Linked DNA regions of Stegostoma tigrinum. The protein of the gene in region 1 interacts with the protein of each later gene in a biochemical or structural test. Links are inferred from orthologs where the notes say so. Each region holds a gene or a part of one and is shown on either strand. Other genes may lie near its edges.

Evidence for each region. The genes of interacting proteins can lie anywhere in the genome.
Region 2: the proteins of sodium/hydrogen exchanger 1 (region 1) and tesca form a complex in vitro, tested with the Homo sapiens proteins (4 studies listed by BioGRID and IntAct, with this or other methods). The link is inferred for Stegostoma tigrinum from reciprocal best matches to the Homo sapiens genes SLC9A1 and TESC.

The regions. Positions count from the first base shown.
Region 1 is NC_081377.1:33,124,120-33,131,225, reverse strand, and holds the start of sodium/hydrogen exchanger 1, read left to right. Parts: upstream 1-4,106; 5' UTR 4,107-4,138; coding exon 4,139-4,409; intron 4,410-7,106. UniProt on the Homo sapiens protein: Electroneutral Na(+) /H(+) antiporter that extrudes Na(+) in exchange for external protons driven by the inward sodium ion chemical gradient, protecting cells from acidification that occurs from metabolism.
Region 2 is NC_081379.1:30,269,074-30,275,965, forward strand, and holds the start of tesca (tescalcin a), read right to left. Parts: upstream 3,002-6,892; 5' UTR 2,713-3,001; coding exon 2,652-2,712; intron 950-2,651; exon of another isoform or gene 946-949; coding exon of another isoform or gene 918-945; intron 836-917; coding exon 766-835; coding exon of another isoform or gene 744-765; intron 674-743; coding exon 593-673; intron 163-592; coding exon 23-162; intron 1-22. UniProt on the Homo sapiens protein: Functions as an integral cofactor in cell pH regulation by controlling plasma membrane-type Na(+)/H(+) exchange activity. Promotes the maturation, transport, cell surface stability and exchange activity of SLC9A1/NHE1 at the plasma membrane.

The DNA.
Region 1 (7,106 bases):
GTGAGACATGATACTCATGGCACGATGGCTCAGTGGTTAGCACTGCTGCCTGACAGTGCCAGGTTTGATTCTACCCTCAGGCAACTGTCTCTGTGGAGTTTACACATTCTTCGCGTGTCTGTATGAGTTTCCTCCGGGTGCTCTGGTTTCCCTCCACAGTCCAAATATGTACAGGTTGGGTGGATTGGCCATGTTAAATTGGCCATAATATCCATGGATTAGCCATGGGAAATGTAGAGCTACAGGGATAGGGTAAGGGGTTGGGTCTGGTTGGCATGTTCTTTGGAGGGTTGGTGTGGACTTGATGGGTTGAATGGCCTGCTTCAACACTAGGGATTCTATGGTAAGCTGCGACTTTGAAAAGTGTGGATTGATGAAGGATGATCAGCATATATTTGTTAAGGGAAGATTGTGTTTGATTTACTTTACTGAATGTTTTGAGAGTGTGATATGTAGAATTGATCAGGGTAGTGCAGTTGATTTTAGTAAGGCTTTCAACAAGATAGTACGTGGCAGACTGTTTTTTAATAAAACGCTTGAAGTCCAAGGGAATGTAACTAAATTGGCTCAGTGTCAAGGTGGCCCTGTTGGTGAGGAATAATATTCAGTCCCTTGCAAGGGGGTACATAGAGTCAGGAGATGTAGAGTCAGTATGGATAGAGCTGAGAAATTCTCAGGGTTGAAAGACCGTAAGGGGAGTTATCTACAGGCCCCTAAACAGTAGTCAGGATGTAGGGTGCAAGTTGAATCAGGAGCTGAAATTGGCCTGTCACAAAGGTATCACTACAGTTATTATGGGAGATTTCAACATGTGGGTAGACTGGGAGAATCAGGATGGTACTGGACCCCCAAGAAAGGGAGTTTGTAGAGTGCCTCCGAGATGGATTTTTAGAACAGCTTGTACTGGAGCCTACCAGGGAGGAGGCAATTCTGGATCTGGTGTTGTGTAACGAACCGGATTTGATCAGGGACCTCAAAGTAAAGGAGCCATTAGGAGGTAGTGACCATAATATGATAAGTTTTAATCTGCAGTTTGAGAGGGAGAAGGGAGAATCGGAAGTGTCAGTATTGCAGTTGAATAAAGGGAACTATGGAGCTATGAGGGAGGATCTGGCCAAAGTTCAATGATACAATACCCTGGCAGGGATGGCAGTGGAACAACAATGGCAGGTATTTCTGGATATAATGCAGAAGGTACAGGATCAGTTCATACCAAAGAGGAAGAAAGATCCTAAGGGGAGGCAGGGGCAGCCGTGGCTGATGAGGGAAGTTAAGGACTGTATAAAGATAAAAGAGAAGAAGTATAACATAGCAAAGATGAGTGGGAAGCCGGAGGACTGGGAAGCTTTTAAAGAGCAACAGCGGATAACTAAAAAGGCAATACACAGAGAAAAAATGAGCTATGAAGGAAAACTGGCTGAAAATATAAAGGAGGATAGTAAAAGTTTTTTTAGGTATGTGAAAAGAAAAAAAAAGGTTAAGACTAAAATTGGGCCCTGGAAGACAGACGGGTGAATTTATTATGGGGAACAAGGAAATGGCAGAAGAGTTGAATAGGTGCTTTGGATCTGTCTTCACTAGGGAAGACACAAGCAATTTCCCAGATGCAATAGTGGCTGAAGGACCGAGGGTAATGGACGAACTGAAGGGAATTTATATTCGGCAGGAAATGGTGTTGGATAGACTGTTAGGTCTGAAGGCTGATAAGTCCCCAGGACCTGATGGTCTGCATCCCAGGGTACTTAAGGAGGTGGCTCTAGAAATCGTGGACGCATTGGTAATCATTTTCCAATGATCTATAGATTCAGAGTCAGTTCCTGCAGATTGAAGGGTGGCTAATGTTGTCCCACTTTTCAAGAAAGGAGGGAGAGAGAAAACAGGAAATTGTAGACCAGTTAGCCTGACGTCAGTGGTGGGAAAGATGCTGGAGTCAATTATAAAAGATGAAATTATGACTCATTTGGATAGCAGTAACTGGATAGGTCAGAGTCAGCATGGATTTACGAAGGGGAAATCGTGCTTGACTAATCTTCTGGAATTTTTTGAGGATGTATCTATGAAGGTGGACAAGGGAGAACCAGTGGATGTAGTGTACCTGGACTTTCAGAAAGCCTTTGATAAAGTCCCGCATAGGAGATTGGTGAGCAAAATTAGGGCACATGGTATTGGGGGCAAAATACTGAGTTGGATTGAAAATTGGCTGGCTGACAGGAAGCAAAGAGTAATGATAAACGGGTCCCTTTTGGAATGGCAGGCGATGACCAGTGGGGTACTACAAGGTTCGGTGCTGGGACCTCAGCTGTTTACAATATACACTAATGATACAGACGAAGGCATTAAAAGTAATATTAGCAAATTTGCTGATGACACAAAGTTGGGTGGCAGTGTGAAATGTGAGGAGGATGTTATGAGAATACAGGGTGACTTGGACAGGCGAGATGAGTGGACGGATGCCTGGCAGATGCAGTTTAATGTGGATAAATGTGTGGTTATCCACTTTGGTGGCAAGAACAGGAAGGCAGATTACTATCTCAATGGAGTCAAGTTAGGTAAAGGGGAAGTACAACGAGATCGAGGTGTTCTTGTACATCAGTCAATGAAAGCAAGCATGCAGGTACAGCAGGTAGTGAAGAAAGCTAATAGCATGCTGGCCTTCATGACAAGAGGAATTGAGTATAGGAGCAAAGAGGTCCTTCTGCAGCTGTACAGGGTCCTGGTGAGACTGCACCTGGAGTATTGTGTGCAGTTTTGGTCTCCAAATTTGAGGAAGGACATTCTTGCTATTGAGGGAGTGCAGCGTAGGTTCACGAGGTCAATTCCCGGAATGGCGGGACTATCATATGTTGAAAGATTGGAGCGACTGGGCTTGTATACACTTGAGTTTAGAAGGATGAGCGGGGATCTGATTGAGACGTATAAGATTATTAAGGGATTGGACACTCTGGAGGCAGGAAGCATGCTTCCGCTGATGGGTGAGTCCAGAACCAGAGGACACAGTTTAAAAATAAGGGGTAGGCCATTTAGAACAGAGTTGAGGAAAAACCTCTTCACCCAGAGAGTGGTGGATATATGGAATGCTCTGCCCCAGAAGGCAGTGGAGGTCAACTCTCTGGATAATTTCGAGAAAGAGATGGATAGAGCTCTTAAAGATAGTGGAATCAAGGGTTATGGGGATAAGGCAGGAACAGGATACTGATTGTGGATGTGTGGTGATAGTGACAATGGGAACTGCAGATGCTGGAGAATCCAAGATAATGAAATGTGAGGCTGGATGAACACAGCAGGCCAAGCAGCATCTCAGGAGCACAAAAGCTGACGTTTTGGGCCTAGACCTCTGATGAAGGGTCTAGGCCCAAAACGTCAGCTTTTGTGCTCCTGAGATGCTGCTGGGCCTGCTGTGTTCATCCAGCTCCACACTTTGTTTTCTTGGATTCTCCAGCATCTGCAGTTCCCATTATCTCTGGGTCTGTAAGTGGATGTTACCTGGAAAGATTGAATAGCCTGGGGCTTTTCTCCTTGGAACAGAGGGGCTGATCAGAGATTTGACTGAAATGTATAAAATTGTGATGGACCGTGGTAGAGGAGACATAAATTGCCTGTTTACCTTAGCAGGGAGGTCAGTGACTAGGGGGCGTAGGTTTAAGTGATTTGCAGCAACATTATGGGAGAGATGAGGGAAAACGTTTTGGGGCAGAATCCGGTATGCATTTTTTAATGCCTGAAAGGGTCATCGAGGCAAGAATGTTCAACGGATTTTGAAAGTTTATGGATATAGACCTCAAGTGCTGTAACTTGCAGGGCTTCTGTTTGAATTTTAGTAGGTGAGATCGGGCTGGGTCACAAAATCTGAGGCAAAATCTGTTAACGGCTCCATGACTGAGTTAGAACAGCCATTGCTTTCACTGAGTCGCCGCAACAGTTTTCAAGCACTGAAATATGGTTATAGTTGGGGGGGGCGGAGGGAAACAAAAAATTGGGAAGGATTGCTCCAACCCGACAACAAAGTGCTCGCTGGTTCCTTCGCTGTGGTCGGATTGTTCAGTCCTCCGGGGCTGTAGGTGGCGCTGCAGCTGGCAGTTGGCGGACTGCTGCTGGATTCAGTTGTCGGTTCTGCTCCCTAGCGTTAGTCACAGTTGGGATGCTGCTTATGGCGGCTCCCATCTGGGTGCAGATGTGTACCCGGCTTTCCCTTGTGTGGCTGCTGCTCGTCTCCTTGGTTCTGTTGAACCTGTGTTCAGGAACACCGGCTTCGGCCCCGGAAACTGAGGCGAATGAGTCCGAAAGCTCGAGAACTCATCACAGTAACAAGAGCAGCAAGGCCTTCCCGGTGGTGACCGTCGACTTCGGTCATGTCAGGTCCCCGTTCGTTGTGGCGCTGTGGATCCTGTTGGCCTCCGTCCTGAAACTAGGTGGGTGACTGGGACAGGTATGTCCTGGCGACATACGGACGCAGGTCGATCCTTTTTCTCTCTCTCTCTCTCTCTTTTACTACCACGACCTGTCTTTCCCCCCGCCCCCGAAACCCAGAATTTTACAGCGTCGGTGTCCATTCGGCCCGTCATCTGAGTGCCGGCTCTGGCCCATTCCTTGGATCTGCACATTTTGTCCCCTTCCCCTCAAAGGTACAGTCTCAGGACCAGAAACTGATCATTTATAGAGTAAGGTGAAGATAAATCACTTCATTCAAACGGTAGGGTCAGCATTTGGAAGTCTGTGACCCGGTATGTTGAAGAGCCTTCATTTTGAATACATTTGCATCCAGCATAAACCTTTTTTTGGTTTTGAGGAAGTCGAAAGATATGGGGAGCAGGTGAGAAAGTGGACTTTGAAACCCAAGATTAGCAAGTGTTGATTTGAATTGTGGAAAACGATCATTATGCCATATGGTCTACTATTCTTATATGCTTGTACGTGAATCTCTACTATTAGGGATTCTCATTAAACTTCACCCACATCATCAATGGCTTGTGTGTTATTTCTGGACACAGTGTTAAATTCCAGAAGATCACCCCTAGCCATCTCTTTGAATGTGAATATTCAATTTTGGAATGTTGCTGTTGTGAAAATAGGGAGCAATAGAATATCTGGTCACATCCATCCAGCCTCAAAGAAGTGCATAACTTCCTCACAGAAGTGGTGGAAAGTATGACAGCAGATTTAGGAGGATGGCCCACCAAGAACACTGCCAGTCGTTTGGCCAGTACTGCTGTAGAGGCCTGAGGTTGGATTAGAGAAATGACTGAAAGAATTGGAGATTACAGATATTGGCAGCATTTACACTGGCAGAACTCCTTTGGGTGCATTCGTCCCATGTGCCTGCTCCCCTCAGCATGTAGTGTATTTCTGCATATGTGGATGTGGCATTTATCTTCAGTGAGCAGGATTAATGAGTGGAAACCAGCTTAGTGTCCTGTGTTTTGAGTTGGCTGCACCTTGTTCTAACAATCTTATTAAACTATCCAGAATTAGGAATTGCTCCTTAGATTTCTTTCATTTAACAACAGTTTTATTTTGCAGTTTCACAAAAAAATGTATAAAGTTTGCACATTTTATCATGGAGTAATTCAAATTTGTCATTGAATGAAGTGCAATAGAGTTGACATTCTTCTATAGTGTATTTAAGAAGCCAAACTATAGTTAGAATTCTAAGTTATAATTCCTGTTTTATGCCAGACATCCTTCTGGAATGTATAGCATGTGTTGCAGAGCTGCTTGACAAAAACTAAACGTTCTTTACAAAGGCATATTTCAGAAGCACATGAGCACTGGTTTCCTCCTACTGCAGATGCCCTGAGGCCAGGATACAGTGGCAGAGACATTTTGTGTATGAAGAAATTGATAGGATGATTCCCTCGCATCACAACCTTCCTCCAATCACCTTAAAACTATGCTCCCTTGTAATAGTCATTTCCGCCCTGGGAAAAAGTCTCTGGCTATTCGCTCTATCAATGCCTGTCATCATCCTGTACTCCTCTATCAAGTCACTTCTCATTCTTCTTTCGCTCCAGTGAGAAAAGTCCTAGCTCTCTCAACCTTTTCTTATAAGACCTGCCCTCCAGTCTAGGTAGCATCCTGATAAATCTCCTCTGCACCCTCTCTAAAGCTTCCACATCCTTCCTATAATGAGGGAACCAGAACTGAAAACAAAATCCCAACTGTAGTCTAACCGGGCTTTCATAGAACAACCATTGAAGCATAACCTCATGGCTGTCAAACTCAACTCCCCTGCTAATGAAAGCCAACACACCCATATGCTTTCTTAACAACCCTGTCATCTTGGGTACCAACTTTGAGGGATCTATGGTCGTGGACCCCAAGATCCCTCTGTTCCTCCACACTGCCAAGAATCCTGTCATTAACCCTGTATTCTGCATACAGATTCAACTTTCCAAAATGAATCACTTTGCACTTTCAACTAGTTCTTCAAAGATGTTATGTGTACACCAATACATGGGTGGATCTGTGACCAGAGATGTTATATTGCTTAAAATTTACATGATTGACAGGTAGCACACAGCATGGTCCAACTGAATGAAGCATTCTGTGGCAACATAGTCAGATCTATCATCATATTTATCTAGAGAATGAGAATGCACAATGTTCACATGGACATTTTATGCAAATCTCTCAAGGAGGATAAACTTACTCAATGCCACTTCTTCCTGATGGTCACCTTTATGTGTTGATACACTTATCTGTTCGTAGGCCATCGGAACACAAACACCAAATACTATTGAAATTCTGTCTGTGCCAGTGAAGGTTGTGAAGGATGCGTCTGGCTATGTTGCCGAAGATTGTTCCATCCAATTTGACTCTGCTGTACCACATGTCTTCATGGAACAGTTTGTATGTAACATATCTTTGACCGAAAGATCATCTGGCAGTGGTTTGGATGAACATTGCTGTGCAGCAATGGCTTATGGGACGGTCACGCTGTCTAGTGCAACACTGAGAGCACTTCAGCAATCTCTATATGTTGAATGAGATAGTAGGAACTGCAGATACTAGAGAATCTGAAATAACAAATGTAGAGCTGGATGGACACAGCAGGCCAAGCAGCATCAGAGGAGCAGGAAAGCTGATGTTTTGGGCCTGGACCCTTCTTC
Region 2 (6,892 bases), on another chromosome or scaffold:
AAGTGCCATATCAGTGCCTTACATTGCAGTTTTTCATTTTTGTAGTATTCTAAGTCCTCTTTTGTGTGATTGTCATCCATATGTTGGAAAAACGATAAAGTAGTCAGGAAGTTTTCAAACGTGATTTCATCAACCGTTCCACTCGTTTGTTGTCCCAAGTTTCTAGGGAAAAACACATGGATGTTAGGAGATTGCTTTACACTTTCTCACTCTCAGCACCTATTTCCACATCAAGCACAGCCTAGATTTCCCCCTTCTATCAATATACTTCAGTTCCAACCTTGAAAAATACTTTCTGGCTTATGCTGTACTATAGCTACTTTGTAATCAGCCATTCGAGCAGTCTCTCTGAGATTTCAAGTTTTATACTCTTCTTCCACACTTGTTCAGAAGCAGCTAAAATTGCTCAAATGTATCTCATGGGGAGTGGAGAATTCCATTCCAACAGCATGAACTGGTTTTGTGATCAAACTGCATGATTGTAAGCAAAGTAGGTTCACTCAGTATAAGCAAGATTTTTTAAAAAATCATATGATCAATAATATGATGGTTCTAAGTAGATCAATTTAGAAAGGCTGAATTGAAGACTTACCTCCTATCAAAAAATGCATTGACAATTCTTGCCTTAATGGGATTACAGTCCAGATCTGGTATGTTATCAAAACAATCTTTGCTGCAAAATAAAGTAGGTAAGTATTTTATACAGACATGGGGAAAATTGCTCTAAATGTTGTTAAACATACATAGTAACTAGAATACTAATACCACATTGTAGCCTTCCCATCCGTTAGGTGCAAGAACCTTCTGTGCAAGATTTCAATTTGCTCTGAAGTAACTGAGAGGAAGGAAATTCAAAGTGTGAGATATTTACATAGAAAGAACATCCCCTCCTAAATTGTCCATATTATTTCATTTACCATGTGAAATTTTCTGTACAGGACTCATTGTGTCCACTGGGAGCACAGAAGCAGGCTCAGCTTCCATTAAAGTTAATGTATTATTTTTAAATAGGTTAATAATTCTGATATCTCTGAATTACATGAATGTGGCGGGCACTATCAAAAGTAAACAAGGTGACTCCCTGATTCCTGGAGCCTTTAAGAAAATACAGCTGACTAAGTTGGCTAACAAAAGCTGCTATCAGACTGCAACTTAATGTTAGTTACTCCCACACATTTCACTTTGAGTTCTGAAGGTAGGTGAAGGTAACAAATTATACATTCCAATGTTGTTCATTACAAGGAGGATTTTGAAAATGTTTATTTAAGTGGTGGTTGTTTGTTGGGACCCTGTGCTTTGGATTTAACTGAAAGGTGAGATTAGATACTGTAGAGAACATTGATGTTCTATCTTTTTGAATAAATGATCTAACCTAAAAGAGACGAGATACTATACTTTGGCATTTTTCTTAGAAAATGTAATCTCATTTACTCCCTTAAAAATTGCATGTGCAAACATGAGTCAGCAAAAGTAAAACTCCTGTTTCACAAGCTGCTTATTTATGGAGTGTGAAAGCAGGAGGAACTTATACAGTAACTTTGTCATTTTGGTAAAACATGTAATATTGAGGGACAGAAAAAGAAACCTCACTAATCACTTCTGGGTTTCACTCACTTAAATGACACAATAACCTTGATGTAGGCACTGCTAGTGTTCTTGCTGCCCTTCGTAGCAGAGATACATGTTCTGCCTGACTTGTTCTGGGTTAGCTAAGGCTGTCTCAGAGGCTTACTTGGAGTGATTAGGCTTAGAACGAAGTCAACCAGCCCACTGAATCCATGCCCCATTGTGCAGGGCAGTCAAATCAGTCTATTACCTTGCTCTATTCCCTCTTGCCCTGCAAGTTTATTTCCCTCAAGCACTCTTGCAATGTCCTCTTGAAATTATTGACCTCTACGCTTGTTGAAACACGAAGAAACAGAACAGTAGAAGCATTACTGAAGGTAATGCTACGGGTAATGAATCAAGTGCAGCAAATACAGGGCTACGGTCCAGTTCGTGTGAACACATCCTCGTTACGATATAGAGATGGAGGGTGGAAGCAGCTCAGGATCAGGATCTTTACAGGCTGGGGTTTGATCTGCCTAGTGACTGAACCGTACAGTTCAGGAGGGATTCAGGGTCGATCCCTGGTTTGTCTGCTCAATCCCGGCTAGTCGCCCAGGCAGGGTCGCTGAGAGAGCGGACTCAGGTCCCCCTCAGCTCGGCAGGGGCAATCCTACTCTGTTTGTCACACTCGCACTGAGCGTGAAGACGTGAGCAGCAGGACAGGTCATTGTGAAGCACCCCACAGTCGGTTAGCCGCTCACTTGCGTGTGAGTAACGGCCAGATTTGAGTGACCAAACAGCCCCCTCAGAGTCCGGAGAAAAGGAGGCAGAAAGAATGGGGTGGGAGTAAAAACACTATGAAAAGACATTTGGCTACAACACATTCATTGACAGCTTTTGAGCTTCAGAAAGTGCGATGAAAATCTCGCAGTTTTTGAAAAAAATGTTTATAATGTCCTTTCCGTATGAGGAAATGCGTTTCCAACCAGCCTTTTGTTGCGTGATCTTCGCGAGCCTCCTGGATTATTCGACATTTTCACTTTTAAATTGAGTTCAGCTCTTAAACAACCCAAGTGTAAGCGAGCGCCTGGAACTGTACTCACAGCCGGTCGTGTTCGCAAGGTTGCGAATCTCCCAGGCAGGCAGTGAAGGAGTAGACCCCATCACCTCTTCTTCGCCTTCAGCAGGTCACACCTTTCAAAACTCACAAAGTTCTAGGGAGCAAACTGACCAGGACACAGGCGCTTTGCGTCTCCTGGAATCGGGTGAAGCTCTGATCGACAGACACAACCAATTGGTAGCTTCGGTTAGTGATGTTCTGTAGAATGTAACTGCAATCACTGGGGATAATGAAATGTCCTTTTCGACACTTCCCTGTCGTGCCAGCGAGGGATTCCTCTGGGTCCTACCGCTCAAGATATGTTTGAATGATCCCTCGCTTCTTCCTGTTTTGACTAAGTTTCAATATTGTATTTCATGACAAAGATTTCGCAATAAGGTACACGGAAGGGAAGAGATGATGTACTGTTTCTTTCTTTAAATAATTGTGTTTCAAGACAGAGATTTCTTTTTAATCTTTAAATTACCTATATAGAACATCTTCTTGCCTTATCGAGCCAAAGATAACATCACAAACTCCAATAGGTTGAGAGCAAGGAGAGAGGTGCAGCTGAAAGAGGCAACAAACGTCATCTGAAACCCATTGGCGCCAATCTGATCCAGACCAACCATCCAACTAACTGAGCTAACTGGTCCCCGTGAAGGAGTTTGATTTGCTGAGTGTCTTACACTTTTACATGCATTTGAACTATGGATAGTGATGTTGGAGGCTCCAATTTATTTCCATGGCATGGCTAACCAGGAATGTCTCCCACTCTTACAGTGGAAGGACTTACAGATCAATTCTCAGCTTGCTTGCTTTGGAACATAACTTCCTTGGTCATCAAGACCTGCACTGGAACTTTGAACGTGAACTTCTGGGTCAGTGGCAGAAACACTGCCCCCTGCACTAATGACCTACTCAGGGTCACACTATTAGAATGAGGAGTTTCACATTTAGGGTTGACTTGACAAGACGTTTATCACTCAAAAGGCTGTGAATCTTTGAAATTCACAAGGGTGCTATGGATGCTGAGCTTTTGAATTCCTGAAGGCAGACTTTGATGGACTTGTGGATACTAAGGGCTATAGGAATATTGTGGAAAGGTGGATTTGTATTAGAAAATTAGCCATCATCTTCTTGAACAATGACATAGGCTCAAATAACCAAAGCAGTGATAGTGTATTATTTGAAATAAATAATAGTGATAAATACCCTCAATATAAAAACAGAAATGCAATTTCTTGCATCAAATACATCTCAATAAGCCTGCAGCTTCATGTACAAATCACTCCTCCTTCAATTAACTTTTTCACCTGAAGTCTGAAACACCTTCCCAAAAGCCCACTGTGTTGTTACATTTCTCTCACTTTTCACAGACTTTCTCAAATGTACCTCTTCCCCTGTTTTCAGCCACAGTGTATAATCTTGTGCTGCTCAATGACTGCGCTTGACTGTAGTGAAATCTGTTGGGTGTAGTTTGTAACATCAAATACATTGTACCAGTGCAACTGATTGTTGTTACAGCTGCTTAGTTTGAAGGAGTAAGAGCTAGTACCTTTCGTTAATACAGAACAAAGCCTGATGCATCAGTACATATTTCCATATTTTGCACTTTGGGTTCATATGCAAAGTTCACAAGTAAATTAATACAATTCAAACATACAATTGTATCATGCATGGGAGTCAAATTACAATAGATGCTACAATCGCAATTTTCAATTTAGTAAAATGTTGCAGAGACTCAGAATCAATATGCAAAACAACGCAGGCATTCAACCTTGACCTTTTTGAATGCCATTTTAAGCAAAAATAAGGACATTTATTTACCTTAAGTCTATGAAATCAGATAGAATTCAGAAATGACCACAGGCAGTGATGATTTGTCCCTCTCCCTGTGTGTATTTACTCCCATGAATTCCTTTGCAGTGTTCTACATTTGCGAATGACCTTATACATGTGGAATGTATCATGCTGCAATATTTATAGTCAACTATAGTCAATATATAGTCAAGAACTTTTTAGTAAAAACTAAAGTTATTGCACCTTCAGCAAGAGTAAATGTACATTCAAAGGTTTCTGTTTAGAAAACAAATACATGACCAGGTGATGAGATAACAAAGTGTAGAGCTGGATGAACACAGCAGGCCAAGCAGCATCAGAAGAGCAGGAAAGCTGACTTGCTTTTCTGAAGAAGGATTTAGGCCCAAAACATCAGCTTTCCTGCTCTTCTGATGCTGCTTGGCCTGCTGTGCTCATCCAGCTCTACACCTTCTTATCTCAGATTCTCTAGCATCTGCAGTTCCTACTGTCTCATGATCAGATGATATTTCAGTTACAGGATGATACTCCATCTATTTAAAAGTTGGTCAATGTGCAACTTATCAAACAGAATTAATGTTTAGGATTACATCACTTGGCCCAGTCTCTTGCAGTTTTGTCAGCCATAAAAATTTAACATCATGTTCAACTAAAACCATGATGACTGTTGCATATGAATCTGAAAGAGTCGATTGATTGCATTAAGCACCAACAACTGCAATCACATCATGAGGACTTGCTGGGACAGTAGCTAATGATCATGAAGCATTCAGGCCTAAGACCAGGTCCTCCTAACACATCCTTGTAATAGGTAGTTGCAGAGATGCAATAAACTATTTTTGTTTTAATTCATTCACGGGATGAGGGTGTCGCTGGCTAGGCATTTATTGCCTGTACCAAATTGCCCAAAGGGCAGTTAAGAGTCATCCACTTTGCTGTGGATCTGGAGTCACATGTGGACCAGACCAGGCAAGGGCAGCAGATTTCCTTCCCCAAAGGACGTTAGTGAACCAGATGGGTATATATGTTGGATAATATGGGAATACTATATTGCATAAGGAACTCAACTAGCTGGACTAGAGAAAACTATGCTCATGAATGTTAGAGCACATGGGACCTTCAGGAACACATTCCTAAAAGGTATTGGTGGCAGTACATACAACATGGTGAGCATGGCGACAATCTGAGGATATGCTTTAGCTTCAATGTACAATATGGTGAGCAGCAGGGATCTTCTAAGTGGGACCCAGAGATTGATTTGTCTACTTTATAGCACAGTGAGCCACAATCATCAGTAATGAGCTGATGAACTCCAGAAAAGAAACTTTATATCAATATTTCAAAGAATGTTAAAAAGCCCATCAGACTTATTAAAAGACATCTTGGAACAGAAGAAATTTGCACCACCAAGGCAGAGGTATAGGCTGCGTCCCAGGGTGGTGGTCTGCACCAGTGGTTCTAAGTCAGAGTTTGATCAGTAAGTGAACTGACATCAGATTGTGTGAATCAAAACTAGAAATGCCTGGCACAAATGAAAGATCTTAAATAGCACAGTAACCTAGGCTGAACAGATGAGAATTTTTTAAAAACATTTTTTCAATAAGGCCATGAGGCATGGCTAGAAAAGAAAACAGAAATAACAGGGCCAAAACAGAAATGCATAATCTGGCATCAGAAAGTCAGGAACATCACAAAGCTAGTATTTTAAAGTATACAAGCATTGGGCAATAATAAATTGTGAACAGTTCCAGTCCAACAGAAACATCTTTCAGAAAATTCATGAAGGCCCTGAGAGAGGAAGAACCTATATTAAAGATGCAAAATCCTAAACAAAACAAAAAAAAATCCTTGAGGTTAATTGTGTTGGAATAAGAATTTGTTTCATCTTGTCAACAAGGTGAGAGCCTGTGACTATGCTGGTTTGACGGAAATGGTTTCCATTGCTATCAAAATTGTGAATATTTCAAACTCAAAGAACTTGCAAGGTTTGTGAGGATACGTAACAAAGATACAGGCAATGACCACAGCCAGTATACACCACTGAGTGTATTAATAAATCAGTAAATGAAATAATACCTCTACCCACATCATCGCAGATCTATAAGGAGATTGAGAACAAAATCTGCTGATGCTCATTGGAGGTGTGGTGCATACACTCCATGGAAGCCACCACTCAGAAGAGCTCAACAGTGCATGGCCAAGGATCCATGCTGCTGCAAAGAAAATATTGCTTGCTCTGATGACAGTGATGACATCTTCAACAAAAGAAATAAAGATTAAAGATCCTCCATTCAGAAGGAACTGCAGCCTTGGGCTATCCACTGTTTTCTACTCAGCAAATCTGTTTCCAATTTCAACGAGAACAGTTTCAAGGAAACTAGTAAAACTTATGATTGTCTGAATTTGTAAAGTTAAAGAGTTGGG